Canis lupus familiaris: one gene and its partners. The protein of the gene in region 1 interacts with the protein of each later gene in a pairwise test. Links are inferred from orthologs where the notes say so. Each region holds a gene or a part of one and is shown on either strand. Other genes may lie near its edges.

What was found.
Region 2: the proteins of MAP2K3 (region 1) and RASSF1 come close enough for resonance energy transfer, tested with the Homo sapiens proteins (2 studies listed by BioGRID). The link is inferred for Canis lupus familiaris from reciprocal best matches to the Homo sapiens genes MAP2K3 and RASSF1.
Region 3: the proteins of MAP2K3 (region 1) and ARNT come close enough for resonance energy transfer, tested with the Homo sapiens proteins (2 studies listed by BioGRID). The link is inferred for Canis lupus familiaris from reciprocal best matches to the Homo sapiens genes MAP2K3 and ARNT.
Region 4: the proteins of MAP2K3 (region 1) and FGFR4 come close enough for resonance energy transfer, tested with the Homo sapiens proteins (2 studies listed by BioGRID). The link is inferred for Canis lupus familiaris from reciprocal best matches to the Homo sapiens genes MAP2K3 and FGFR4.
Region 5: the proteins of MAP2K3 (region 1) and PDGFRA come close enough for resonance energy transfer, tested with the Homo sapiens proteins (2 studies listed by BioGRID). The link is inferred for Canis lupus familiaris from reciprocal best matches to the Homo sapiens genes MAP2K3 and PDGFRA.

What each region holds. Positions count from the first base shown.
Region 1 is NC_049226.1:42,962,983-42,968,017, reverse strand, and holds part of MAP2K3 (dual specificity mitogen-activated protein kinase kinase 3), read right to left. Parts: intron 4,591-5,035; coding exon 4,477-4,590; intron 4,262-4,476; coding exon 4,142-4,261; intron 2,795-4,141; coding exon 2,678-2,794; intron 1,843-2,677; coding exon 1,791-1,842; intron 431-1,790; coding exon 303-430; intron 1-302. UniProt on the Homo sapiens protein: Dual specificity kinase. Is activated by cytokines and environmental stress in vivo. Catalyzes the concomitant phosphorylation of a threonine and a tyrosine residue in the MAP kinase p38.
Region 2 is NC_049241.1:39,420,236-39,426,022, reverse strand, and holds the start of RASSF1 (ras association domain-containing protein 1), read right to left. Parts: upstream 3,761-5,787; 5' UTR 3,746-3,760; coding exon 3,496-3,745; intron 1,637-3,495; coding exon 1,530-1,636; intron 1,149-1,529; exon of another isoform or gene 990-1,148; coding exon of another isoform or gene 837-989; intron 1-836. Other genes in the region: ZMYND10 (zinc finger MYND domain-containing protein 10), read right to left, coding at 4,373-4,448, 4,537-4,662, 4,783-4,904, 4,987-5,112, 5,334-5,506. UniProt on the Homo sapiens protein: Potential tumor suppressor. Required for death receptor-dependent apoptosis. Mediates activation of STK3/MST2 and STK4/MST1 during Fas-induced apoptosis by preventing their dephosphorylation.
Region 3 is NC_049238.1:60,665,440-60,671,117, reverse strand, and holds the start of ARNT (aryl hydrocarbon receptor nuclear translocator), read left to right. Parts: upstream 1-1,753; 5' UTR 1,754-1,914; coding exon 1,915-1,939; intron 1,940-2,778; exon of another isoform or gene 2,779-2,802; intron 2,803-5,678. UniProt on the Homo sapiens protein: Required for activity of the AHR. Upon ligand binding, AHR translocates into the nucleus, where it heterodimerizes with ARNT and induces transcription by binding to xenobiotic response elements (XRE).
Region 4 is NC_049225.1:37,137,925-37,143,478, reverse strand, and holds the start of FGFR4 (fibroblast growth factor receptor 4), read left to right. Parts: upstream 1-2,268; 5' UTR 2,269-2,452; intron 2,453-2,721; exon of another isoform or gene 2,722-2,852; intron 2,853-2,974; exon of another isoform or gene 2,975-3,107; intron 3,108-5,003; exon of another isoform or gene 5,004-5,007; 5' UTR 5,008-5,056; coding exon 5,057-5,147; intron 5,148-5,554. UniProt on the Homo sapiens protein: Tyrosine-protein kinase that acts as a cell-surface receptor for fibroblast growth factors and plays a role in the regulation of cell proliferation, differentiation and migration, and in regulation of lipid metabolism, bile acid biosynthesis, glucose uptake, vitamin D metabolism and phosphate homeostasis.
Region 5 is NC_049234.1:47,416,103-47,421,933, reverse strand, and holds the start of PDGFRA (platelet-derived growth factor receptor alpha), read right to left. Parts: upstream 3,742-5,831; 5' UTR 3,478-3,741; intron 2,473-3,477; exon of another isoform or gene 2,195-2,472; intron 530-2,194; exon of another isoform or gene 508-529; intron 1-507. UniProt on the Homo sapiens protein: Tyrosine-protein kinase that acts as a cell-surface receptor for PDGFA, PDGFB and PDGFC and plays an essential role in the regulation of embryonic development, cell proliferation, survival and chemotaxis.

The DNA of each region.
Region 1 (5,035 bases):
CACCCTCAAGACACTGGGAGAGGGGTAGGGCCTACACTAATCCCACAGGTTACCTCCCTGTAAGTGTTCATGAAACTTATCATCCAAATGGGCACATTGGGGCACAGCTAATAACAGGGGAGAGGGGGGCTGCTTGGCCAAGCTGGGCAGCAGATTACCCCCGCTGTGGTAGGAAATAGAGAGCCTCAGGGAGGCCTTGTCCCCAATGGACAGAGGACATGGCCTGAAAATGCTCTCCCAGGCAGGTGCCTCCTGAACCTTAGCTGTGGCTGGGGACTCAGAATGGTATGGGGACCACTCACAGCCATGTAGGGCTTGCAGCCAGCGTCCAGCGTCTTAGCCACAGAATCCACCAAGTAGCCACTAATCCCAAAGTCGCACATCTTCACGTGGCCCTCCTTGTTGATGAGGACATTGGACGGCTTCACGTCTGCCAGGGATAGAACACATCTTCTGTGCCTTCAGGGGTTGTGGGGCGTTGCAGGAGGCCAACAGGCTCCTCGATGCCACAACCACTGCAGGGGCACATGATACCAGGGCAGGGGGGTAGAGGAGACATGAGGTTCTACCAGGTGCTCTCCCAGTCCCAGGAAGCAAAGATGGGAGCAGAACAGCAAGAACACGCCCTGGCCACTGGCCACAAGTGGGGATGGACATGAGCTTCTACCTGGACCCCATCTTTGTGCCTTGTCAGCACTTTGGACACAAGGTCCAGAGGGGGAGGCTCATCCCGGCTGTGCAGCCAGGACTCTGCCTGTTTCCTGGTGGAACCTCTAGCCCCGGGGTCCTCCTGTGCTGGGGATCTGCTGGGGGACGGCACCACTGACAGGCTGCAGACCCGGAAGCCCCCCAGTGTCCAGGCTGAGAGGCTGGGCATTTCGGCCAGGAGGCACAGGGCAGCAGCAAAAGCACGGGACACGGAGGGGTCTGTGGAAACACAGAGCCCAGGCTACAACTCGAGGTCCATGCAGAGCAGGCTACAGGGCATACAGCAGGGACTCTTCCAGCAAAAGCATATATAACACACGAGCAACCTCCATCCCTTCCTACAGGGCATGGGCATAAGGACAGAAATGCACAGGAAAAGGACCAGCAGGTTCCATGCTGACCTGCCAACAGTGGTGACCTGGGGGCAGGGGCTGGGGTGGCCGCAGAGCAGTCAAAGCCGGCTCGGTCTAATGCACTTGGTGAAAAGCAATATGCCTGGGTGAGTGAACCACTCAGAGTGAAAGGGAAGGATCTACCACACACACAACCCGCGTGAGCCTCAGAAACATTAGGCCAAGGGAAAGAGGCCGGAGAGAGGCCATGTCTATTTATGCGAAGTTCAAGTATAAGTAAAACCGATTTGCTGTGGGAAACACCAGACAAGATGTGGAGAGGGGACATAGGGGCAGGGTCTGACCAAAAGAAGCACGGAGAACTTTCTGGGGTGGGGTAGAAGGTGGGACATCTTGAGTCTTGAAAGTGGCCAGGGTTATGTGGGTGTAAACTCTGAACAGATTCATCAAATGCTAGCTACGGATCTGTGTGTTTCATGATACATAAACAATATGTCAAAACAAATTCAGTCAGCGTTCCCAGGATGAAAGCCCCATCATTGCTCCTAGTACCAGCAAACCACCGAGGGACCTAAAGACAACAGCTGGCAGAAGTGACAGTGGCCTGGACTGGGAAGCAGGCTCAACTCATGACCCTAGTGGGCACACCACTCACTACTTATCACCTGAGGTTGCACCCTCCTTGCAGCCTGCAGGCCCCTCCCACACAGTCCGCAGTGGGGCACTGACCTCTATGGATCACCGACAGCTTGCTGTGCAGGTGCTCCAGAGCCCTCACGATCTGGCGTTCAGAGCAAGAGGAGAAAAGACAAGGCTATTATTCCTAGTTGCATCAAGCACGACAGAGCTGTGAGACCCCCTAGCCGTGCCCATCTGTCTCCCTCTCACCCATACACACCCACCCCGCAGCTTGCCGGGCTCTTGCCCACATCCCAACCTTCACCCTGGTGTATGGCCACCTCAGTGCAGACACACCCAGCCTCCCACTTTTCTCCCACCCACCCGACAGGTTAGGGTCTCAGGTCCAAGCCTTTACAGGGAAATGATGTACCCGGAGAAGTACCCCAAAGATCATGACTCAGTACTCTGGTATGGCATGTTTTAAAAGTTCCCAGATGTAGTCAGGACTGAGAAGCATTTCCTTTTTCCTTTCGGCTACCAGGATGCTCAAGCCCAGTGTTATTACCCTGCTCTAGAAACATCTTACCTCAAAAGGCAAACAGTGTGGATGCTAAGCTTCCTCCCAGCATAGCTTGCGTCTCTATGAACTGCCTCAGGGCATTTTTGGCAGGAGGAAGTTGTAAATACTAAGTCATTTTGTAAAAAATAGTGTAGACAGCTCAGGAGTTGCACACAAAAGCTAGAGACCTGAGATCTGCCAAATCGGTGTGGCTCTGGTAGCCCCAGGATCTGGGGTCTCCTCAGCAAGAAAGTTCTATGCAGGGTGGGAGAGCTGGCTCCCTGCAGGGCAGTTGCCCAGGCGCAGGGCCCTACTAGGGATCCAGCTCTGCCCAAGCTATCACCTTAGTTTGGGCTTTGCACTTGCTGGGGTAGGGCTGGGGCCCCTGGCTACATACCTGGAACCCCCAACCCCTCCCAAGCCCAAGGCCACTTACAGACACAGCAATTTCCCCCAGGATGTCCTCTGGAATGGTCATGTTTTTATCGAGCACCTTCCGGTAGAACTTGTCCAGGGATGTGTCCATGAGCTCCATGCAGATCCACACATCTCCCTGTGGAAGGACACCTGGAGGTCAGCCTGTGTCAGCCCGAGGCTGTACACCGGTGTCTGGACAGCCTGTCTTGGTGCTGAGTCCACACATGCCTGGCTCTCAGCAATGGTCAGGCCCCTCTACTTCAGCCCACAGAGATTTACCGAGTTGGGAGGTTTACCTCCTACTCTGCACCCCAAAATTTTCTACTTTTTTCTCCACCTTCCATGCTTATGTATACTAGTGGGCAGTACACCTGCCAGCCTTACCCAGCTCTGTTGCCTCTGGTCTCCTGCACCTAATCCCTAATTCCATGGTAGTTTCTAGAAAGAAATGACTAAAACACACGCCTAATTGCGTCCCTCCGAAAGCGGGCTCTCAGGCCCGGCTGCAGCTTGGGGCCATGACCCAGCCCTGCAGATGCTCCTAACCTCAACCACTGTGGCCCCAAACACACATGGGGTCATCCTCGCTCTGGCCTTGATAGACTGCTCCCTTCTTCTTCTGCAGAGCCCGGCCTCCCCAACTCCCAGCTCCCCCACAAACTCCTACCTATCTTCCAGGACAGTGTTTTGAGAAGGCTGGGTATGGCCTCTCCCTGGGGGACTTAGGGATTATGTGGCCCACATGCCTCCCTTGCAACTCTGACCCAGCACACAGAGAGGCCCAGGTGTGCGTCTCTTCCCATCAGCAAGAGGAGCAGCCTGCACCTGGCCCACAGCAGGTGCTTAGCCAACCAGACTAGTGGACAATGAGGCGCTGACCCACCACTGGATCCACAGCACCAAGCATGCTTGGGGACGGGTGGATGCTCAGGGAGCAGCCAGCAGGAGCCCGTCCTTCCACTGCAACTAGCCACACTCCCTGGCATCACCCTTGACCTCTCTCTCATCCCACAACCCATCCTTCCCACAGACCAAGAACTGGACCTGCGCACACCTCCTTGGTGCCCTTGCTCGGAAGCCCATGCTGCCAGCCTGGATGCTAGTGAAGCAAGCAGGTGGTGCCAGAGGCAGAGGGAATGCCAGGCCCTAGGTCACATCATTTTATCTTCATGCATCTTTGTGAGGTGGATATAATTACTGCTCATTTCACAGACAAGGAAACTAAGGCAGGAAGCAGGAGAGCCAGACTGCCTGAGCTCCCAAAAACTCTGCATGCACCATCTCACCCACTGCTGTGCCTAGTACCTGGCACACAGGGGACAGGGGTGCTGAGCAAGCATCTGTGGGGGGCCCAGCATGAGCAACAACAGATTGTAGGGTAGCCAGAGTGGGGCAGGTGTACAGAAGGAAGGTGGGATGGGGCAGCCTGAGCCCCCAGCCTGCAGCCCAGCACCCACCTCCCACCCTCCCACCAGGGCCGCACCTCTCTGAAGAGGGCCCCATAGAAGGTGACAGTATAGAAGCAGTCGACCGTCCGCATGTTGATGTCCAAGTCCATGAGCAGACGCTTCTGCTCCTGTGAGTTCACGGTGGCCCGGATCCGCTGCGGGAGACAGGGTCACAGTTTAGGGGCCATGAGGCAGAGGGTAACCACCTCACCATCCCCTATAGGAAGACTAGGAGCTCCAACGGGTTCCCACAAGCAGTACCACCAGCTCGGCCCCTCATGCTTCCTCCATAAAGCCTCCCCTCCCAGGTATCCCGTGGCCTGGAGCTCCCTGGCTGGCTGGGGCAGGGATGGGGTGGGGCCCTGCTTACCTTCACAGCCATGATGGTGCCACTCTGGGCATGTCGCACCTTCTCTACCACCCCGTAGGCTCCTCGGCCCAGCTCTGAGATGGTCACCAGGTCATCGGCCTCCACCTCAAAGTTCTTGGGGGACAAATAAAAGAGAGACCACAGTCAGGAGCCTGGAGTCACTCTCCCAGTGGAGTGCTTGGGCAGCAGGAAGAGGAAGCAGCCAGTCAGTGAGATCTGAACTCAAATCCTACACCAACCACCTTCTGCTGCATGACCTGGGGCAGGTAACTCAACCTCTCGGACTCCTCACCCTCTATAAAGCAGGCATAGCCAACGTCCAAGGCTATTGCAAGGTAGAAATAAGACCGCCTATGAAATGCCCCCAGCTGGCACCAGGAGCACAAGAGACGCCCTTTTCCTCTTGCCCCCCACTCTATTCAGGGGGTAGGACAGGATCATTCACTCAACTGGTATACCTGTTGGTATACTCAACTGAGTACCTGCCATGTGCAAGGTGTTTTAGGCCCTAGATACAGAACAAAACAAAGGTCTTGCCCTCACAGTAAGCAGTGTGGCC
Region 2 (5,787 bases), on another chromosome or scaffold:
CTTGGCCTTCACACTCATGACACACAGCACAGAGGTGTCTGGTAATGGGGACACCTAGGAGATTCCGAGAGGAACAGCTGCTCTAGCACCACATCTTACAGTCTTGGGTTAGTGGCCCCTCTTTCTTGACCCCTCCTCTGGGCTTTGTACTATCTAGCCTGCCTCACTTCCTGTGGATAAGATGCTCCTGTTTGCTAACAGTCCAGAACTAGGCTTCCTGCCCATCCATTCCCAAATACTCTTCCTACAGGTCCACACCAATTTTAGTATATGTGCTCCCGAAGCGAGCACTCCAGGCAGGTCCACTCCAGAATCCTCCACTTTCCAGCAGCTGGTGGCAGGCCAAGCTGGGTAAGAGGTGGGGACTCAGTTGGCTCCGACCAGGAGTACAAACGCAGGGGCCCGAACCTTCCTGCTAAACACATTTCCCAGTTCCCGGCGAGGACACCTCCCCTTCCACTTCCTCCCACCACCCCCACCTCCACCCCCGTCCCCCAGAGGCAGTGGGAGCGTCCGAACGCAGAAACCGAGGTGCTCGTCCAGACTGCGCAGTCGGCTTTAGTCATAGGTGGATCATGCCCGTCCCGGGTCTACCCCAAGCCACGTAGCTGCTTCCCCTGGTTCAACCGGTCTGTGACAGAGACGACAAGGCCTCGGCGCCCGGCACCGAGGCGCGAGAGCCCGGCACACGGTTCCGCGGGCGGGCCCCGGGCCGGTATGGAATCCCCACTGATGGGAGAGAGGGACTGCGCACCGACTCGAGCCGGCAACTCAGCGGAAAGGCGCAGGGGCCTGGCGATCATCACCGGCCCGCCGCCCAAAACCCCGGCCCCCACCTGGTCCCGACGCGGCCTGCGCGCCAGTGAGGTACGCGCGGTGAAGTACTGCTCCAGCTCCGAGTCCGAATCCTCCTGGCTGCAGTAGCCACTGCTCGTCGTGCTGCTCCAGGTCATCTCGAAAGAAGGCGTCCCCGCGTCCACCTCGCCCATCGCCGCGCCCGCCCGCCAGCTCCTCGAGCCCCGTGCGCCCGTGGCCTCCAACCACCGCCCGAGACGCGTGTGCGCGTGCGCTGGGATCAGGGTTCGCGCCGCAACCGTTAACGCCGAGACGTAGACAGCCACGATCTGGCTCCCTTCTCATTGGGGGGGGGACTTCGAGGGGCGGGTTCACACACGCCCCGCCTCCAGGAGTGACCTCATAGCCCAGGCAGCCCAGCTCGGCTCCGCCTCGCAGACCACACCTCTTTTGGGGAACAAGTCGGCGCGTCTGCGCATGTACACCAGCGTGGCTGCACGACCGGATGCGGATGCGGGAAGGTGCGGAAATTGCGCGGGCGTGGAGCCTCGGCTATTCCGGGCAATCCGCGCGGAGTCAGCATCCCTGGTACCCCTTCCAGCCGCTCTCGGCCGCGGGAAAACCCGCTGTTCGAACGCGCATTGCGCGTAACCGGGCGGCCCTAAGCAACTCCTGCCGTGTGGCCGGCTGGTCTGCGCACCTTTTCCGTACGCCACCCCTTGCCCCGCGCTCACCACGTTCGTGTCCCGCTCCAGCGCAGGTTCCCAGCCCAGGTCCCGGGGCCCGCAGCAGTCCAGGCAGACAAGCGCGCGGCAACGGTAGTGGCATGTGAACTTGCAATCTGCAGAGAGGCCTGGCCGTGAGGCGGAGCCCCGGCTCCAGTTCAGAGAAGCATCCCGGGGACGGCAGAGAAACCCCGGGACGAAGGCGGTTGCCCGCCAGGCTTTGCATGACCCGCCTTGTCTTACGGCCCGGGTACCCTGCCGCTGCTATGCAGATTCTAGTGTTGGTCTCCCGACGTCTGGAAACTGGCGGGAAGGCCTCAGGCGGTTAGGGATCCAGGCCGGTTGAATAGCTGGATCTCTAGCACGGAGATCCCCCTTCCGCACTGTCAAGCGCCCCCCCCCCCCCGCCCCCAGCATTTACTTGAAGGGCAAACCCCCCAAATCTTTAACCCTTTAACCCCTTTAGCTGTCATCTGTCTACATCCCTCACACCAAAACATATCATTTATCTGCATACACAGTGTAATTCCTCATCTTCACTCTCTCCTTTACCCATTCCAGTCAGGCTTGATCCTCCCTCCAGGATAATGGTTAGGGTCCTTAGCAACCTGTGCACGTTCCAATGCCAGATCCCTTCTGCATCCTCACCATGCCCCCCAGCATCGTTTGATGCTTGCTCCCCTTGGCTTCCAGGGCCCCCCATTGCCCCGGTTTTCCTCCCATGCCCTGCAGCTCCTGCTCAGCTTCTTTGGTTCTGCCTCAACTCCCAGATCTAATGGGCAAGAGTGTTTGAGACTCAATCCTGATCACTGCCATTGCCCTGCTCTGTGTACAACCCCAGATCCAAGTCTTCCATCCCTAACCTCCCTCCTCAGATCAAAGCCTGTGTCAACCCAATGTGACCAAAACCAACTTTTCTTTCACCTCCCCTCTCCTCTCCCCAGAGCTTCTCATCTTAGCAAAAATCACTACTGTCCCTGTTTGAGGCAAAAATCCCAAATCACCCTTGATCCCTCTCTTCTCTTTGCTTCTGACACATTGTCCTGTATTTCATCCCTATGTCACTTTATTTCTCCATGGGATCACTGCAATGTCTCAGCCCTTGCTCATGCTTGGTTTTCTGTCACAGCTCTGGTGTTCAGGACAGACTCTTGTACTGGATGAGAGGGTCTCTACACCTACATAGGCCTAGGATACCTTCTCTAAATCCCTAAATGGGCCAGAGGAGTGATTCTCAATTGCTCTCAATTCCAGGCTGCCTACTGAAATGATTTTTTTTTTTTTTTTTTTTGTAAATTGCTGATACATTCCTAGTGATGGATTCAACAGGTCTGAAGTCCAGGCATAGGGGTTTGGAGGGCTGTAAAATCCCAACCAATTCTAGCTGGTGTATAGCCAGGGGGACAGCAGCCTCTGCTTGCTGGCAGAAAGACTGCTGGTGTGTGATGTTTTGTGTTTTAGCACCTGGTTGGCTGGGCCTGCAATAGGTATTTGCTCAATTAAATTCTTGCTTGTAGAAGACCCACCCAAGGTACTTTTTCCCTGCTTGCCTCCATAGGTGGGTAAATTCCCCCTCCTCCCAGAGATTCTGGGGGGGTGGGGCAGTGAGTGAATCTTTGGGAAAGAGCAGGCTTGGGAACATGGACTTAGAGATTGGTCGAAATACAGACTTCTCAAGAAGAGCCAAGGCACTTAAAAGATAAAAAGCTTGAAATCAGCACCTTGTTCATAGTTATTCACAGGCATCCGCCTCTGCATAAATGTGCGCCCAATGCAGGTGGTATAGAACAAGGCTATAAACCATCTGTCTGCCTGCACTTTCTTACACGATGGAGCAAAGGCAGTGGACCTGGCCCACTGCCAGTTAGGAACCGACCCTGCCGACCGACCCCCTCCTTTGCGACTTGACACGCAGCGACGGCACTGCCCCTTGGCCGCGCATTTCGCTCTCCCAGCGCGCGGGGCTGCTACTCACGCGCGCACTGCAGGCCCTTGCGCACGACGCCCCAGATGAAGTCGCCGCAGAGGTCGCACCACGTGTGCGTGGCGGGCCCCGCAGGTTGGAAGTGGTGGCCGCGGCCCGCGACCAGCTGCCGTGCCGGATTGCGCGCGGTCCCCGGTGCGATGCGCAGCGCGTTCGCTCGCTCCAGCCGGCTGCGGCCCGGACCTCCGCGCCGCGCGGGCTCCAGTTCCCTCAGTTCAATGAGCTCGGGTTCGGTGGACATGGCCGGGTCGGGCCCGGACTCCCGCCGGCTTTGGGCGCGAGCGAGCGCGGGGCGGGCGGGGCCGCGGGGCGGGCCGCGAGGCGGCGCCGCCCCCGGGATCTAGGCTGGGCGGCGAGAGAACCAGGGCGAGCGGCGCAGTGCAAACCCGGGTGCCCGGGCTGTGTCGGCCCGCAGGCGGAGTAGGGGCGGGGGGCGATCTCGCAGAGTCCCGGCGCTCCCTTTCCTTTTCTTCCTGCATCCGGGTGCACCCCACCCCCGCCCCCCGTCCCAAGACGACGACCACCAAGAAGGGCCACTCGGAGACAGGCTGTTTCTAGAGACTAGCTTTACTGTGCTAGAGGCACAGGGTCCCCACATCCGGCCCTTGTCTTGCCTCGCCCAGGCCTCCCGCTCCAGCTGCTGAGGCAGCACCCTCAGCCTACCCGCAGGGTAGGGCAGGAAGCGAGCAGCCTTTACTGGGGAAGATGGGTCAGCAGCTTGCTGGGCTCGCTGTGCTCACTACCTCGCGGCGCTCGCTCTGCTCACCACCTGGGAGGCTGGAGCCCTGGCTGAGGTTTCGAGAGGTTCAAGGGCACACTGGGGGTGGGTTGTAGGGCATGGGTGCTTGGCCCTCAGCAGCTGCAGCTTTCACTTGGCTCTGTTACCTTGGGCTGCCAGGACACAAGCCTTTCCATGCTTCTTCCAATGCTTGACTTGGCACTCCCTGCAGGCAGGTGGGCTGGTAAGCATGCAGTGCTTGTGCGGGGTATAGAAGTGGGGCTTAGGGGTCCAAGTTCCTAGGATACCCTCACCTGCAGCAATACCATTCATTCTGGCACCGTGAGCACCGTTTGGAGGCATCTGCACTGCAGTAGGCACAGCGGGGCCGCTCTGGGGTTACTGCCTCTAGGACGTCCAGGCTGTAGGTCTCAGCCCATCTAAGAAAGAGGTCAGGAAAGGCTGGCTGTGCCTGGCCAGTGGGGGCACAAGAGCACCTCTGCCTGTGTCCATGCCTTCTGCATCCCTCCTATCCCTTCTGCCCACTCAGTGGGCCTCACCTTCGTGCCTGTAGTCGCAGGTCCTGCTCTGAAGGGCTGAATATGTGCCTCAGCTGGTGCTTGGCAATAGCCTGCCACTTGCCTCTGTTCTCTCTTTCTAGCCGCTCCCAGATTTCTGGGATCTGAGAGAGAAAAGTGGAAAGTGTCAGGGAGGAGCTGGCAAGGTGGGCAGTAGTCCTGAGCAGCTGACTTCCTGGTACCTACCTGTTCCAACACCAAGTCCTTCTTTGGGGGCTGGGTTTCCGTCAGGGCCAGGTGGGCCAGGAAACCCTGCAGGTCTGCCAGGTTGGGCAGCTGGTCGAGCAGTGTGTCTGTGAGGAAGGCCCGAAGCTGCAAGGGAGTCCAGGGAAGGCCAGTGTGAAGTGGTGCTGACCAGGGAGGGCCTGGGCTGGGGTGCCTGTGGGGACCACGTCCCACTAGCTGCTGCGACACCTGAGCTTCAGGGTCTGGAAAGAGGACTGGGGCTGAGGCAGGTGGGCAGTGATAAGCAGCAGGGGTGGGGCAGGGCAGGGTGGGATGGGGTGGCACTGGTGCAGGAGGAGCTCCCCCACCTTGAGTAGCTGTCCCTTGGCAAAGCTGGTGACGCAGTAGCGGGTCCGGGCTTCGGGGCTTAGCAGCAGGTTGTATAGGGCGATCCACACCTGCCCATCCAACTTGCTCAATTTTGGGTGCTCTGTGGGGGCCACTGTCTGCCAACGGCCACCCTCAAATTGCTGCATCTTGCCTGGAGAGAGGAGCCAGAACACTAGGAGCAGGTGTTACACACTCTGAGTCAGCCAACTGAATGGGCTGGGGTCCTGAGTGCTGCCCGGGTGCACGACTCACCAAGGCTGGTGTCTGCTTGCTCCAGAGCGGGGTGAGTCTTTAGCAGTGGACACACAGGCCTTACCTGCTGCAAAGCCCAGGTCTAAGCTAGTTTGTGTGAGGCATTCTGGGCTCCTCTATGAGCTAGCGGGCAGTTTGTGAGCAAGCTGCCTGTCCCCATCAATCCTGGGGTATGTCTGG
Region 3 (5,678 bases), on another chromosome or scaffold:
ATAATCATAGTTGTGGTTTTTTTTAAAAAAAGATTTTATTTATTTGAGATAGAGCGAGGGAGAGAGAGAGAGAGAGAGAGCGAGCGCGCCTGAGTAGGGGGAAAGGCAGAAGGAGAAGGAGAAGCAGGCTGAGCCGACTCAGGGCTTGATCACAAGATTCCCAGGATCATGATCTGCGTTGAAAGCAGACGCTAAACTGGCTGAGCTACTCAAGAGCCCCATAGGTATTCATGATTATACTTTGTATTTACATTTTTATTTATTCATCGCTGCTTGGGTGAACTTATCACATGTAAAGGCACAAAACTCGAGTCCATATCTAAACTGCAGTCTTGTTTAATAGCTACCTTTACTACATAATTTTTTTTTCATAATTTTGAATTGAAATTCTGTACTTGTTAGTTTTTTCATCATTACTTCTTATGTGTCAATGTACTTCTTTAGAGTGGATGCTTTTTCTCTTTTGATGAATTGGAAATACAACACAATAAAATAACAAAGAAAAAATAATTTTAACAATGTAAATAATAATATACAAATTATGTTAAAATACCTCAGCGGAGATAAACTACTGATAAGGAGAGAAATGGATCAATGTAATCTTGTATTACATATGTAATCTATAAGAATGCAGATATACTCAAGAGCATAATGAAATTTGTTAAAATTCGAATTAAATTGATATTAAACAATAGGTGAAAGATAAGTAAGGTGGTAGTATATTGTAGTGCTAAAATATGTTCCTAGAGTCAGACTTCTTCAGTTTGCCTTGCACATCATTACTTACTAGCTGGTTATCACTTGCTTAATCTCTTTGCTTCTCTTTCCCTATCTGCAAGATGGAATTAATAATACAATCTACATCACAGTGTTGTGAGAACTAAATGAGTAAACACACAGAGCAGTTTGGATAGTGTCTGGCACGAATGCTTAGTGCTTCCTATTATTAAAAAAATCTGTTCAGTCCTCATCTTATTACTTCCCTACAAAAACCCATCATTATGTCCCTATTATTGACCAATGGAAGTCATCCCACTCTTAATCAGAATACCTTCTTTATACAACGCCTTTTGTTTTGGCTGTCGGTACCTCTCTCACCAGACCTTAAGCGCCCAGATTGTTTTACACGACCAGTTCCATACCAGGCACTCAAAAATTATTGAGTCTTTTTTTTCACCAGGGACAAAGGTCCTTAATGGAGGAAAAAAATTCTAGAAAGGATTACAAATCACTGTGTAAAGTTTAAGCATTAGAGCCACTAAAGAGGGTTTACGAAACAAATCGTCTGCACAGTTTTCAGCCAGGAAAATCCACCACCTAGGGCAGCCCCGGTGGCGCAGCGGTTTGGCGCTGCCTGCAGCCTGGGGTGTGATCCTGGCGGCCCAGGATCGAGTCCCGCGTCCGGCTCCCTGCATGGAGCCTGCTTCTCCCTCTGTCTCTGCCTCTCTCTGTGTCTATAAGTAAATAAGATCTTAAAAAAAAATCTACCACCTAGCTAAGCTTTTGAGTAAAAATGTTTTTCGCCTACGTCACTCGATCACTGACCTCTGACGCACAGGAGGCGGGATTAGAGAGAGACAGCTGGACTTCTTTTTTGCCCGCCCTCCTCCAATGGACTGGCGGGCACATTGGCCAGCCCTGCCTTTTGCATTCTCATTGGTCAGTTGCCCCGAGGAGGCGGGCTCTGAGGGAATGACTCCATCCACTCTTTGGGCGGGGTCCGTCCTCCGGAGGCTGGGGCCTGTCGGGGCGGGGTGTGTGTTACCGCAGCCGCCATCTTTGATTCCGCGGTAGCGGTGGCGGCTGTAGGGAGCCGCGTCTGGGGAGTGGCTCTCCCCTCCCCCTCCCCCCCGGTTCGGTGGCGGCGGCTCCTCCCACTCGGGGGGTGGCGCGACGGCATTGGCATCTACGGCCATGGCGGCGGCTGCTGCTAACCCCGGTAAGTAGACGGAGGACTGGGGCGCCTCTAAAAGGAGGAGGGGCTGAAAGGGTTGGCTGCTGAGGAGACCCAGGGCTGAGCGGCGGTAGTTGGGGCTGAGGGCGCTAAGACTAGCGGAGGTGGCCGACGGGTGGGGGAGGGGAATGGCGGGGGGAGGGGCCGGCCCTAGGGATCTGGGGAGACCAGAGGTGGAGGGAGGGAGTTCGTTGGGGCGAGTTCTGTCGGAGCGGTTCCCTTGGTTGGGCTTGGCCTGCCTCCACTGTCCTGGCGGCATTCTGCTGTGTGATGTGGTCCTTGAGCTCTGCCCACTTGAGCTGCTTGATGCACAATAACTGGGAAAATTGTCTCCTTTTACTTTAAAAGTGATTTAGATTTATCAACACTGGACCGCATTGCTGTTTAGCTGAGGTGTTGAACTTCCAAACGTTTAGACGTTTACATTTTTAATTTAAATTAAAAAATGTCTGGATATATACCCAGTTTCTCTAGGCTTAACATTCCCCCCCCCCCCCCCCCGGCTATCCTTTGAAACTGGCGTTTTTGTATTAAGTGCCTCCCAGTGTCTTCAGCTGCTGAGGACAAAAGTTTGAGTAATGTTTGGTGCTCAGGGCAGATGTTGCCAACAGCTAGCATTCAGAACCTGAACTTTAAATCTTGTTGGGTGTAGATGGAGGCAGTTCCCATTCTTTTTTTTTTTTTTTTTTAAGATTCTATTTATTCGTGAGAGACACCGAGAGAGAGGCAGAGACACAAACAGAGGGAGTACCAGGCTCCCCGCGGGGAACCCTATGTGGAACTCGGTCCCAGGACACCGGGATCACGACCTGAGCTAAAGACAGACGCTCAACCACTGAGCCACCCAGGTGCCCAAGCAGTTCCCATTCTTTAAGAAAAATTCGGTTCCATGTCATTTTTCAGTGAGCATCTCTTCAAAAGGGGGAGCGAGAATATTAAAAAAATCTAGGCAGTCATGTTTAAGCGATGGAGTGGGGTGTATTGCTGCAGGTCTAGACAGATCAGGTCTCCAAATTCCCAGTCCCAGATCGTTCCACTATGTTACAGTTATTTCTTCCTTGGAAGTATTTCGTTTTAGGGATCCTGGTTTACCTTGCAGACCTTGGCCATTCTCTTGTGAAATAAAAATTCTTTTCCGGAAATCTCTATCTTTGATAACCTTAAAAAAGAAGCCAGAAGTTCGGGGTGAATTACTTGAAAATACTGCGGTGAAAGGGATTCACAGTGAAAGGGTGTTCCCACGTTGAAACTGAAGTTGACTTTTTTCCGTGTATCTCAACTGATTATTATTTTGTGGTACCCAGGTTTTGGTATAGCAGTTAAATCACTATGAAGTTTACTGTCTTTACTACCATGTTTCTGGGAACAGAGCTATTTAAAGAAGTTAATTTGTCACATATCAATATCATATTGTAAAATATTTTAATTTTTTTTAGAGGAAAAGTAGATGAAATTAATGGCTAAAACTCTATTGGAAGAAGTGCTGATGATGGAATAAAATTGGAAAGATGCTATTATTATGGCAAACCTGGCCTTGTAGTAAAGTAACCCATGTGTTAAAACTAAGGAGTAAATAAATAGGGTTTTAAACTGATAACACATTGCAAAATAGTTACATAATCCTAGTCAAGTTGCAAAGCTTTTCTCTTGTTAAGATGTGGCCTGGGTAAACAAGTTTAGTGCATATGTCGGAAGCTTTTTTTCAGCAGTGTGGGTGGGGCTGCTTTATTTCATTTTATTTTTTTTCAACAACAGTGACCAGAATGTCAGCTTCTTGACCACATTTCATTAGCTGATTCATATCAGCTTAAATCTGAAGCAGAAAATGGTATTTATTTGTGTACAATCCTTGCTAGTGAAGCATATGATTTTATTCTATGACAGCCTGCTTCTGCAATTTTTAGATTTCCTTTTTGATGTTGAAAATTCTCACTTCTCTTCCAAATTATTGATACAACAACATTCAACACCTGGTAATTAGAAAATGTATTTTCTTCCATCATTTCTTCTTTTGCTCCTCTATATTCAAAAGGAAGCAATCATAGGTGTATTGTGGTCTTTAATAGCCTTGTTGAGTTTTGGGAAATGTGGACTACAAATAAAGGGACACAGGATGGAAATGTATTGCGCTCAGTGAAAAGAAGTAAATAAGGGATCCCTAGGTGGCTTGGTGGTTTCGCCCCTGCCTTCAGCCCCGGCCGTGATCCTGGAGTCCCGAGATCGAGTTCCGCATTGGGCTCCCTGCATGGAGCCTGCTTCTCCCTCTGCCTGTGTCTCTGCCTGTCTCTTTCTGTGTGTCTCTCATGAATAAATTTTTAAAAAATCTTTAAAAAAAGTAAATATTTTTGGAGCATCTGAATGGTGCAGTTGGTTGTCTCAGACTCTTGCTCCGGTCATAATCTCAGGGTCCTGGGATCAAACCCTGAGCAGGCTCTGACCTCAGGGGAGAGTCTGCTTGAGATTCTCCCTCTCTCTATGGCTCCCCGCATCTGAGCACGTGCTCTTTCTCTGAAATAAATAAATCTAAAAAAAAAAAGGAAGGTAAATGGTTTTCAGGTCAGAATTCTTTGTTTCATGGTCAAACATTTCCTTAGATCCATTTTAGGGACTAGAGACATCATACTTATTTCTTTGAGTTTTTTCTACTTTATCTTTTTGCTGGTTAAGATTCCCTGATATGTTAAGAGTTACATTGAAATAATAAGTCTAATGTGATAATGGCCTTTTCTCTGCATAAATTGATAATCCCCATGTTCTGTTATTTTTCACTAATTCTTCTTACCATTGGCAAATAATAGTGGGTGGGTAAGTGGTCCATGAAGTATTAGGCTGTCTTTTTTGTTATGAAACACTAACAGTTTTGAGGAATACTTTTTAGATTACATGCATGATTTGTAATGCATTGGCTAAGGCATGGATTGGGAAGAGATTAGGTATTTGACTTCCAACTCCATATTCAAAGCAGAAATAAGAATGAATTTGTAGGAGTATAGGTATGTCCTCCTCCCTTGATTCTGGTATTCTTATCTCACCTCTTTTTGTGCTAATAAGTACCACTTATTGTGGCTAGAAAATGTGGCAGAAGGTAAAGGGACACTGTTTAGGTTTGTGAAGCTGATATTTAGGAAATTTTTTTCTTTTCACATAATATTCACCTATGTAAATTATAGTTTGGAAAGCATTAGTTAACAACAATATTCTTATTTGTTACCTTTACTCTTTTTAGTTATGGGAAAAATAGGAATTTATGTGGTGTAAAATTAAGATATCAAGATGCTTTATTGCAAAAACATTTTTGAAAAGTATATTGAGGGTTGCCTGGGTGGCTTGGTTGAATGACTGACTTCAGCTCAGGTCATGATCTCAGGATCCTGAGATTGAGCCCCATGTCAGGGTCTTTTTTTTTTTTTTTTCCATGTCAGGGTCTTGCTTCTCCCTCTCCCTTTGCCCTCCCCCCTGCTCATGCTCTTTCTTTCTCTCTCTCAGGTAAATAAAATATTTTTTAAAAGGTATATTAAATATAATTTACTAACTCAGTAATTGAAATACAATTAACATTTTGAAAAAGAACGTTGATCTGTGCAAATCTGTGTGTTAGATTTGTGGTGCTAATCTGAATCTTCTCTGTTTTCTTAGAAATTAAGAAGTAGATACTTATGCATTATGGGAACTCTAGTTTTCTTATTTTTGTGAAATAGTACTCTCTAATCTTATTTTTTTTGCA
Region 4 (5,554 bases), on another chromosome or scaffold:
CAGAGGGACACCGGGAGTTGAGTCTGAGATGCCACCTAAGGGGTTTCCTTTCTCCTCAAGAAGGCTTCCAAGGAGCAGAGAGCTTAGACGTCAGACAAGGGTTCAACAGAGGTCAAAGGTCAGCTGCCCTCCTAGTTTGGCCACAGTCTAGTTTGCTCAAGGGTAGAGATGCTTGCAAGTAAGACAGACCAGAGCAAGGTGGGTCAGAACTATTTGAGGATACCTACTGTGTGCCAGGCGCTTGAGATACAATGCTGAAGTCTATAGGCAGTTCCTGCCTTCTATTTACACAACTGTTTGTTCTGGAATGTTCCATAAAGATGAAGAAATAATGAGTCCTAAATAACCAGAGTTAACATTACAAAGCAAGTGCTATACACCGGGCAGTGTTCTAAAGGCTTACACATGTCTACTTTTTGCAAAAGCTTCATGAGGAAAATACTATCATTATACATACTTTACTGATGAGAAAAATGAATGCAGAGATGGACTAACCTGCCAGGGTTGCTCCAAATGTAATGGCATTGAGATTTGAGTCCTGAAATCTGTGCTCTGAATCACTTCACTTCTTGCTTCTTTCTCCATGCTCATAGGACAAAGGCATCTAAGAAGAACCTAGCAGGTCCAGAATGCTTCTCTGAAGAAGTGAGCTGACCATCAAGAATCAGATGGAACCAACCAGTCCTAAAGGGGAAAGATCATTCCAGGAAGAGGGAACCATGTGTGTAAAGGCCAAGAGGGTAGAATGGGAGCAAGGAAGAATGAAGGACTTGTCTGGAGATGTGGACAGGGGCCAGGTCATGCCAAGAATCATTATGGGAAGCTAGTAGAAAGTTTTAAAGGAGTAGTAGATACATTCAGATTTGTATTTCCTTTTTTTCTTTTTTTAAGATTTTATTTTTGGGGGATCCCTGGGTGGCGCAGCGGTTTGCCACCTGCCTTTGGCCCAGGAGACCTGGGATCGAATCCCATATCAGGCTCCCGGTGCATGGAGTCTGCTTCTCCCTCTGTCTATGTCTCTGCCTCTCTCTCTCTCTGTGACTATCATAAATAAATAAAAATTTAACAACAAAAAAAAAAGATTTTATTTTTAAGGGGCGCCTGGGTGGCTCAGTTGGTTAAGTGTCTGACTTGGCTTAGGTCATGATCTCAGTGCCTGGGATCCATCCGAGTATTGCTCCCTGCTCAGTGAGAAGTCTACTTGTTCCTCTCCTTTTGCCCTTCCCCCCTCAAATAAATAAAATGTTTAAAATTTTTATTTTATATTTTTATTTTTATTTAATTTTATTTTATTTTATATTTTTTAAAGATTTTATTTATTTGAAACAGCACAGGGAGAAAGGTCAGAGGGAGAGGGAGAAACAGACTCCCCGCTAAGCAGGGAGCCCATCTTTGGGCTCTATCCCAGGACCTTCGGATCACACCTGAGCTGAAGGCAGACGCTTAACCAATTGAGCCACCCAGGCGCCCCAAAAGATTTTTTTAAGAGTTTATTTATTTGTTCATGAGAGACACAGAGAGAGGCAGAGCCAGGCAGAGGGAGAAGCAGGCTCCATGCAGGGAGCCCGATGTGGGACTCAATCCCGGGTCTCCAGGATCACGCCCTGGGCAGAACGCAGGCGCTAAACCGCTGAGCCACCCAGTGATTCCCCAAAAGATTTTATTTTTAAGTAATCTCTACACCCAACGTGGGGTTCAAACTCACAACCCCCGGATCAAAAGTCGCATGCCCTACTGACTGAGCCACTCCACTGACTGAACCAGCCAGCCAGGCGCCTCCAGATTTCAAATATCACTCTAAGTTTGTGCAGAGAATGGATGGGAGTGGGTGGGAGCAGACGGGGGTCTCCTAGCCACTGTTTGGTGATTGCACAGAAAACAAGAGTAGCCAGGTTGGGCCAGAGTCTGTAGGGGCTAGCGGGTCAGGACTGCTGGGTGTTACCCTCTAAAAGGGGTGAAGAGCAGAGGTTGGCGCAAAGAACCAGAACCTGGAAGCCTGGTCTAGGTGTGGCAAAGGAGGCGGAGTCTGATGGGGTGTGTAGCAGGCTGAGGTAGGACCCCGGGATCACGCTGGCCCAGTTGGCCATTAGGCTTTGTTGGGTTTGGGGACTGGTCTCCAGGGGGCCGGACGCCGCGTCCCCGTCGTCTCGATAGAGCGGGTCCGGAGGGGCCGGAGATGGGCGGGCGCCGGGTGGTCCTCCCCCAGCCGCGGTCGGGATGGAGCTGGTCCAGGAGGGGCGGGGCCCGGGGTGGGCGGGGCCTGGGCCTCCCGCGGCCACGCCGCTGTCGCGGGTGCATTCCTGACTCTGGCCCCGGGCGGAGGAGCGCCCCGGCTGAGTCTGCGGTCCCCGCTGGGCGCGGGTGTCGCGACTAGCCGGAGCCGGGAGCGGGGCCGAGGAGGGCCCAGGTGAGCTGGGACCCTGTGTCTGGAGCGGGACCACGGAGGCTCGAGGTGAGCGGGACCCCTTGCGGGCTCGGGCTGCGCTCCCCGCCGCCAGAGGGCGAGCGGCAGCGGGGCTCGCGGAGCTGCCCCCTCCTGGCACTGGGGACCTGGGCGTCCTCTAGGAAGGGGGGTGGAGGAGAGGGTAAATCAGTAACCCGCAGCGCACACAGGGCCTTTTGTCCCGCTCCGTCCAAAGAGCACCCTGGCCGTGGAGCTGGTTACTCATTGCCCACCGGGGCGGGGGCGGGGGCGGGGCGGCTGTCCCTGCAGCTCCCCCTCCGGACCTGCCGACTCGCACCTCCCCCCAGGGTGGCCGGGTAAGGGTGGAGAAAGAAGAGCGCGCTGGTCCCTCGGCTGCCAGGCCGTCTGCGTTCCCCGAGTAGAGATGAGGAAGCTGAGGATCCGAGAGGTGCAGTCATTTGCCCAGGGCCCCCCTGCGCTCCTCCCTCCAGCCGGAGGAGAACCCAGGACTGTCTGATTGTGTGTAGATCCTTCAGCCCCTGAGTAAGGCGGTGGGTTGGTCTGTCAGAGGCCACGTGTGATCCGACTAAGGGTTACAAGGTCCGAGCAGCCTGGGTATAGGAATAAAATCCCCAGGTCTCCCTGACCCTCTCCCAGCTCGAGGTGTAGACCCAGAGGGCTGCTTCCCCTGCAGCAGAGCAAGGTGAGGTGATTCTATGGAGGAGGGCCATGGAAACTGGGGGTGGGTGCAGGAACAGTGGCATCTAAGTCAGGTGGAGAGGAGAAATGGGGACACAGAGGTGTGTCTGCGCAAGAGAGAAGACATGCCCAGTTTTGAAAGCCAATGGCTTCAGTGCTGAAGATGCTGAAGGAGCAGACTGTACAACCGAAGATACCCACAAGAGTAGGGAGGGAGGCCTAGAATGCTGGATGAACTATAGATTGGATCCTGCAGGACATGGGTAGCCATTAAGGGCTTAAAAGCTGGGGGATATGGGGTGGTGACATGGCAGATTCTTGTGATTTCTAAAGCCCTGCAAGAGAGCAGAGCCTGGAGTGCCAAGGGAGACATTTGCAAAGGCCCAAGCCAGAGATGACTATGGCCTGCCCTGGGTCCAAGCAAGGGAGGTGGGATGGACTGGAGAAGGATTGAGGAGGCAGATGGACTGGAAGTGGAGGGAAGGGGGAAGGGGGATGGGAAGAGATGATGCCCCAGCTGCAGGGGCAACCCAGGGAAGGAGCAGGGTTGTTTGGTTTTTTGTTAAGATTTATTTTATTCATGAAAGACACAGAGAGAGAGAGAGAGAGAGAGAGAGACATAGGCAGAGGGCGAAGCAGGATGCTTGCAGAGAGCCCGATGCAGGACTCGATCCCAGATCCCGGGATCAGACCCTGAGCTGAAGGCAGACGCTCAACCGCTAAGCCACCCAGCATCCCGGGAAGGAGCAGTTTGAAGGGGTAGATGACAGCTTTGGTCAGGACAGGTGAAGTGCTCCCTGCCTCAGAACCAGAGCTGGAAATGGGGCAGTGACTGAAGAGAAAGGGTGCAGTGGGCTTCCTGGGCAAGGTAGATTCAGAGACACCAGTGTCTCCTGACTGTTAATGAGTTCCAGGTAATAGCCAGTGGTCCCCTGGGACTACATTGGTCACCTCTTCCCCTGCCCCAGCTGAGACTGTTTTGAGTGTTCCTTCTGGGGGATGGGGAGACATCTTTGGTGTCAGAAGAATAGGGTGGGTGTGTGATACCTGACAAGAACTGCACCAGAATTGGAGGTAATTGGCCAAAGGTAGACCTGGGGTGACAGTCATGGAGAGGGAAGGGAAGAACGTTCCAACATTCTGTGTTCCCAGCCCCTACATATGGTCTCTTTTATCCTCAAAGCAGTCCTTTAAAGATAGCATCCAGAGAGGAACAGGAACTTGCAAGTTGGTAAGAGTCCGGATTTGAACTTGGCTTTGTCAGACATAGAGCCCAAGTCACCTCAAATGGAGTTGTGAGGACACAAAAAACAGATGCATTCCCAAGCGTGCAATTCTGGTTCAGAATGAGGAAGAACTTCTCTTGCCATGGAATGTGCTGCTTTGTTAGTAGTGAGTGCGCTGTCACTGAAGGTATTCAAAGCTGGTCAGGAAAATGTCAGCAATGCTATAAGAAGTGTGGGTCAGATCAGATAACATCCAGATGCTAAAGTTTGGCCTTGTATTATATTTCTTTTTTTCCTTTTTTGAGGGGTGGAGTTCTTCAGCAATAAATTCATTTATTCAGCAAAAAATAAATTACGTGTGCTGAGAGTGAGCAGAAGATATGTCTCCTTTTTCTGCTTTCCTCCAAGGAAAGAATCCCCAAACTGCCCTTTCTGTGAACCTGTGCCAGAGTCTCAGCAGGACTGGAGGAGAGCAGGAAGCCCAGCCCTGCCCCCTGAAGAAGCTTTGGGCTCTGGCCACAGCTTTTAGTCTCTGCCTTGCTGCTGCGTGATGGCGGGGAGGGCAAGGCTTGGACAAGTCCTGGCCACTTCCTGTCTCAGTTTCTTCATCCACAAAATAGGAGAATGGCAATGCGAAATGTGCAGATCTATCAGAAGTTCTCCCTCCCTTTCAGGAAGGCAGTTGGTGGTAAGCCCAGCCTGGGTCCTTGTGATCAGCAGGAAGGACATGTGGCTGCTGTTGGCCCTGTTGGGGGTCCTGGTGGAGGTGCCTGGGGCTCCAGCTTTGTCCCTTGAAGCCTCTGAGGAAATAGAACTAGGTATGGCCTTTAAGGTGGTAGAGGGTGGGCTCGGTGGGCACATGGAGGGAGCTACTAGCTGAGCAAAGCTGGAAAGGATCCTGGCCCAGTCCCTGAGGAGGTGACAGCAGGGCAGGGCCCAACCATTGAGACTCAGTGTCTGGCTCCCAGCAAGCGTCCACCTATCTCTATGTCCACAAGAGAGGAATGGCCTTGCAGGGTGAAGGGTCCTGAGCTGGGCTGCAGAGCTGGTGGTGAGCCCCTGGCTGTGTGTGTGTGTGTGTGTGTGTGTGTGTGTGTGTTCTGTGCACTGGGTATATGGTTTGGGAGGCCCAGGAAGCATGTGTGGTATATGTACTGAGTATGCTGTGCCCTGGAGGTGTGGCATGTGCCCTGTGTGTAGCACCTATAGCATGTGTTTGTGTGTG
Region 5 (5,831 bases), on another chromosome or scaffold:
CGGGAGGGGGCCGGGCCGGGCGGAGGGACGCGGGCCCGGGGGTTTAGGGTTACAGGCGCGCGCCAGCGCCTCCTACGGGCGCGCAAGCGGCACGGAGGCGGGGGAAGGCCCGGGGCGCGCAGGCTGCGACCCCCCCCCCGCTGCCGGGGGCTCCCTTCTGCGCCCCGCCGTCCGGCGCACCCTCGCGCCCCTCGCCTGCGTGTCTCGGGGCACGGGAGGGCTGCAGCTGGCTGGGCGGGGAGCGCCCCAAACCCGAGGTCCCCTTGAGCTACCCCAATCTCTTTTCCCAGCCGATTCCGGGTTCCCTCTTCAGGTTAAAACAAAAGGAAACGCCGCAGAGCCGCTTCGGCCAGCGGCGTGGACCGGCAAAGCCCGGGCCGGAGCGCAGGGGGGACCAGCCACTTGGCCGCAGCCCGCGAACCGCGCGGGGCCTCCCCCCCGCACCCCGACGGCTGGTGCTGCGCGGGGGCCCCGCCGGCCACACTCCAGGGACGCGGAGAGCCGCACCTTTCGGTCCCCGAGCAGGCTTTGGCTCCCCCCCCAGAAGTGCCGCTCGTCCATCGGCAACATGCAACCCGGTCGCAGCTCCCCGCAGGCCAGAGGGCGTCCCACCCTGCGGGGTGTGCAGGAAGGCGCTGGCCACCACGTCCGCAGGACGCGTCCAGGCGCTGCGCGCCGCCCACGGCCGGTCCCCAGGAGGCACAGGACGGGCCCGCCTCGGCGCCAGACGCGTTTGCAGCTGGAAAGCCTGGCCCGATGCTCCTCCCCCTGCACCCCTCCCCAGTCCGCGTCCCGGGAAGAAAGCAGCCCTGGGGCCGGGAGCCGGGGTTCTGCTTTGGGTCCCTCTCGGTCCCCCTAAGGGCTGGTGCGAGGGCCGAGGGTCACCCACCCTCTCCTTCCCGGAGCCTCCCCCCCTACGCCCACCCCGACCTCCTCCTTCTGCCTCCCGCCCCCACCCCCATCCCCGCTGTGGGGACTCACTCGAGCTACGCTTGGGTCGAACCAAAAACCAGACTGTGTGGGAGCCTCGGAGCAGGGACAGCGCGGGGTGTCAAGGCGAGAAAGGACGGGCCCTCGCCTGGCGGGGAGCGAGGCAGGCGGAGAGTGGAAGGAGGAAAGGAAAACTGGGAAGGGATGCGAAGCACAGGCGCCAGGGTCCGAGTGGGAGCGGGTCAGACGCAGGGAAAGGGGTGGGGGGTGTTAAAACCAGAGCCACCAGGGGTGCGGGCGAGGCGCGCCAGCCGGCAGCGCCTGTCCCTCCCTCCAGCAGCCCGGACGCGCGCCGCGCTCGGGGGTGTGGGTCCCGGGAGCCCTGCGCCTGGCTGTCGTGCCCGTGTGCCCCGGATGTCCCCGGCCCTAAAAAAGCTGCCTTAGTTCTGCTCGGGAGCGACTGCGGCGAGACGAGTCGCTCCAAAACGTTGAGCAATTCGGCTGCGGAGCCAAAAAGCCATTTCCCACAGGGCGCAGCCCGGGGCTTTTCCAGGCAGCTGGGCCGGGCTCGGGGCAGTCCGGACCCGCTAAAGGCCATCCAGGCTCCCGCTCGGCGCGGGTCGGCCTCACCCTGGGAGGTGGAGGGAGCGGCCGGCCCTCCCAGGCGCCCGCTCTGCAAGCCCGAGGTCTTCGCAGGGTTAGGGAAGCGGGGAGAGGGACCGGCGCTCCGGCCGCTGGAAGGGCGCGCGGCCAACCCACAGGCAGCCAGCGCCTCTCCCGCTCCGAGGGCTTGGCCAGGACGCTGCAGCTCCCGCACACCTGGCCCGGCGGCCCGGCCCCTGCCCCCGGCCCCCGGCCCCCGGCCCCTAGGGCGGCCGTCCTCGGGTCCCTCTGGCTCCCAGCCGGCTGCGACCCTTTCCGACCAGGACCGCTGAGCCCAGTTGCTTCCGAGCCAAGTGGACGCCGCCGGTCCCCCCACCCCGGAGAAGTTAATCTCACGAGCAAAAGCCGATTTCCACGCGGATGGTCGGAGAAGGAGGGAGGGGCGCGAGGAGGGGACCCCCCCCCAAGCCGCCCAGGAGGCCGGCGCAGAGAGTGGGGCAGACCCGGGCACTGCGGCCCCAGCAGCGCAGGGCGAGCGCGGGCGGCGAGTGCCACGCATCCCCGCGAGGAAAGGGACACGCGAGCGGGGGGGGGTGCGGACCTGGGCTCAGGTGCCCGGCGGGAGGTGGGGAGCACGGTTCGCCTACCATCTTCCTCTTACCTAGGGACCCAGTTTCTCCGTTCCGAGGCGTCCCTAACTTCCCCCAAGAGAAGTTCTACACTTTTCTGGCGATCTTCCTTCTTTCCTTCCTGTGGCCGGGACCGGGCAGCAGAGGAGTCCCGGACTTTGCAAAGGGGAGGGCGGGGGTGTAAGAAAAAAAAAAAAAAAAAGCAAAAAACCAAAACGATTCCACCGAGGAAAGGGGGCGCGCGCGGAGAGGAGTGGAGGTGGGGACCCCAGCGCACAATGAGGGCCCCTCGGAGCGCGGTTCGAAATTCCTCAAATCCCACTCGCTGGAATGCGAGGCGACGACGACTCCTTCACTCGGGGCCAAATGTGTTTGTCATTACTCCAGACCGCCCGCCCGCCGCCCGCGCCCGCGCCCCCGCACAGGGGCGCACGACCCCCGCGCGCTGCGGGACCGGCGCCCGCTCGCGCTCCCGCCCCGCGGATCCGGCACGCACCCCGCCGGGGTGTCCCCCCCCCACCCCTCGCCCACGCCCGCGCCCCCTCCGCGCGCCTCGCAGCCGCCGCCGCGGTGCTGTGTCTGGCCCCGGCTCGCACCCGGCGCTGCGCCGTCCAGTAATTACGCGCCCTCGGCCGGCGCCAAGCGCCCCCGGCTGGCACCCCAGGTCCGGCCCCGCTCCAGCCGAGCCCTTCACGCCTCCCCTCCTCGCCGCCCGGCGCGCGCCCCACTCGGCGCCCCGCTCCCCCCACCCCACCCCCCACCCAGGGCCCCCGCCGCGCTCCACACCGCCGGCTGCAGCGCTGTCCCGCCAAACCGCGGGCGAGGAATGAAAATACTCATTAAAAACCTGTCGCCTTCCAGGACCTACTGCCAAGAAGAGGGCAAACACCTCTGCCCCCACTCCCAGCATTACTTGGTGCCCGTCCCGGTATACACGAATACCACCCCCCCCCCAGCCCCAAAAAGAAACCTCAAAAATGTAAGCCTAAAACAAATTTCTTCGGGAGGCTATGGACTTGTTAGAAAAACACTGCTTTTAAAAATAGGCCTGGAAAATGTGTGCTTTTTCTTTTCTTTTCTTTTTTTCTTTTTTTTAATCCCTAGACTTTCTAACTCTATGGTTATCTTTCCTCCAAGTGAAGTTTATTCAAAATAAATGACTCTCTGGACACACAGCTGGAATTCCACTCCTTTTTTTTTTTTTTCCTCATCGCCCAAAGTTTGAGTGAAGTTCCTTCACTTCCAGCCCAAAGGGGCCTGATCAAGGACTTCTCTTAGAAACAAAAAAAATCATTATTTTTTTCTCCTTTCTTACCTTCTCCTCCTATGTCAATTCGTAATGAAAATCCTACATAGGGAGCAAAAAGTGTCCACGGCTTCCAGTCCTCTCTCCTGTAGTCCCCTTCTCTGTTTTTCTCTCTCTAGCTCCAACTGTAATGCGCTCAAAAACCGCGTTTTGTAATTGATTCAATGTTATAGTCCATCCTTCTAAAACTAATCATTTGCTCTAAGTAAATAGCTGTCAGGAAATGAAGCGCCCCCCTCCTTGGCCTCTTCAAAATAAAAGTTTCTCCCGAACTCCGTGCGCTCTGAGCCTCCACGCATCCAGATTGCGCCTTCGCTCTTCGCTCTTACGCAATCAGGGGGTCCGGCCCCAACCCCCAGACTTCGACAACAACTGGGGGGGGGGGGCGGGGAGAAGCAGACCAGATGGGGTGGGGGTGGTGGAAGGGGGGAGGTGTTGATGCTCTGCCGGGAAAGAGGTCCGTGAAAATACCAACTGCCCATCACTTCCAGAAGGAGTCGGCCTCCTGATGTAGGGGCATAGTCTCCTACGCTGCCCTATTGCTCTGCATGCTCTTGGAAAGAAACACAACTCGCGAAGTTGCAGTTAATGCCCGGGAGGAGTGTACATCTGGAATCGAGAAATGTCCCTTCCGTAGAAACTGCTAGTTAGTTGGGGGGCCTGTCCGGAGAGGTCCCCAAGCGGTTGCGTCTTTACAACTTGGGGGTCTTTTAAGGGAAAGTGCCGGGTAGTCGCTGACTCTTTTAATGGTATCAGGCAAACTGTTGGGTCCAGTGGGAAGATGATGGTCTTTGTTTTCGGTTTTGTTTTGTGTTGCTTTGTAAACGGGTTTGAAAGAAGGTGCAAAGACTCGAGGGTCTGCGTAGGTTTGGAACGTTCCCCGACAGAACGACCTTTACTCCCTCGGAGCCACTTATCTTGTCGCGTCTTTGTTTTGGGGGGATGGGGTGGGGCGGGGGGACCCGGGCGAGGTTGCCCTGGCTTCTATCCTGCACACGAAATAAGGCTCAGGGTTGGGCGTTGGGAGGAATCGTCTGCGGCCAACCTGGCCACCTCGGCGTCCCGGGGAAGGTGCACCTCCGCGCACCCCCCTCCCGCCCCCCGCCACAGAGCACGCAGCTTACCGACGCCCTAGGGCTTGAGCTGAACCCCAAATCCTCTGCCCGCCCCCCCCCCACCCCACGGCGCGAGGCGAGACACGGTACCGGGAGGGCGCGATTCCGCTCGCGGAGGAAAGGGGGCGCTGACGCTCCAGGAACCGGGCTAGGAGGCCGAGTGGGGCGTGCGAGGGACGGAGGGGGAGGGGAGCGCCTTCTCCGGTGGGGTGGAAGGGGTCATTTTTGATCCCCACCCCCTCTCCACCTCCGCACTCTCGGAATGGCCAGGGCGTCCAGGTTGAGCCTGGAACGTCGGACAGCCGTCAGCTCCTCCCGCATCAGCAGGGGGGACAAGGAGCAGCCGGCAGGGGAGGGTCACACAGAAAAGTGTGGGGTCCTGTGCCGCCCCGGGATGGGCTCCTGGGGTGTCCGGCTCGGGAAGACGCCCGGGGCTGGGCCAGGGGCCCCATCCCCACCCCACCCCCCACCCCAGCTCTTCTGCGCGCCCGCCTCTCGTGCATCTTCAGTCCGGGTGACTGCACTGCTCACTATTACTTCCACATGTTCCTTCAGGAAATCATTGAAGGCAAATATATGAACAGCCTCTTGTTCGGAATGCTAACAGGATACCGTAATGCTTGTAGATAATGAACCGGCCCGCGCGGCACCTCCCTCTCCCCCCACCAAAAAAAAAAAAAAAAAAAAAAATTCAGCGTGCGGAATAATAGGAAAAGGCGGGGGCTGGCTTTCATGCTATTAATAAAGACAAGCTGAGATCTGAGTTTTTATATCAAATACCCCAAAGACGAGGAGGCAAGGTAGAAAGCCTACCCAGGAAGGCCTGCTTTGCTCTGGGAAACTGCCAGCCCAGTCGCGCCGGGGTCTCCTGAACACTGGGCTCCCCGCCCACAAATGGTAACTTCACAGTTCATTTCAGAGATGCTTAAAGGGGCCTGAAAAGCAGGCTGGGCTGGGCTGGGGGGACTGGAGGGGGGTGTCTTCGGGTCGTAACTCCTCTCGACTTGGAAGCATGGAGAATGGATGAGCAAGCGCGCACCCAGTTGTCCTTCTGGTAGTAATTACCTGCCTAATTTGAATGATGCCTTTGTTATGATCATTAACAAACATTTGCTAAAGGTTTCCATGTGTGACATTCCAGAAGGTTTAAAGGACTGGGATGCTGACTCCCGGGATAGCGCACCGGTGGGGGGTGGCGCAGGGAAGCAAATGGTTGGGGGGCGGGGGGCGGGGGACGATTTCGTCGAG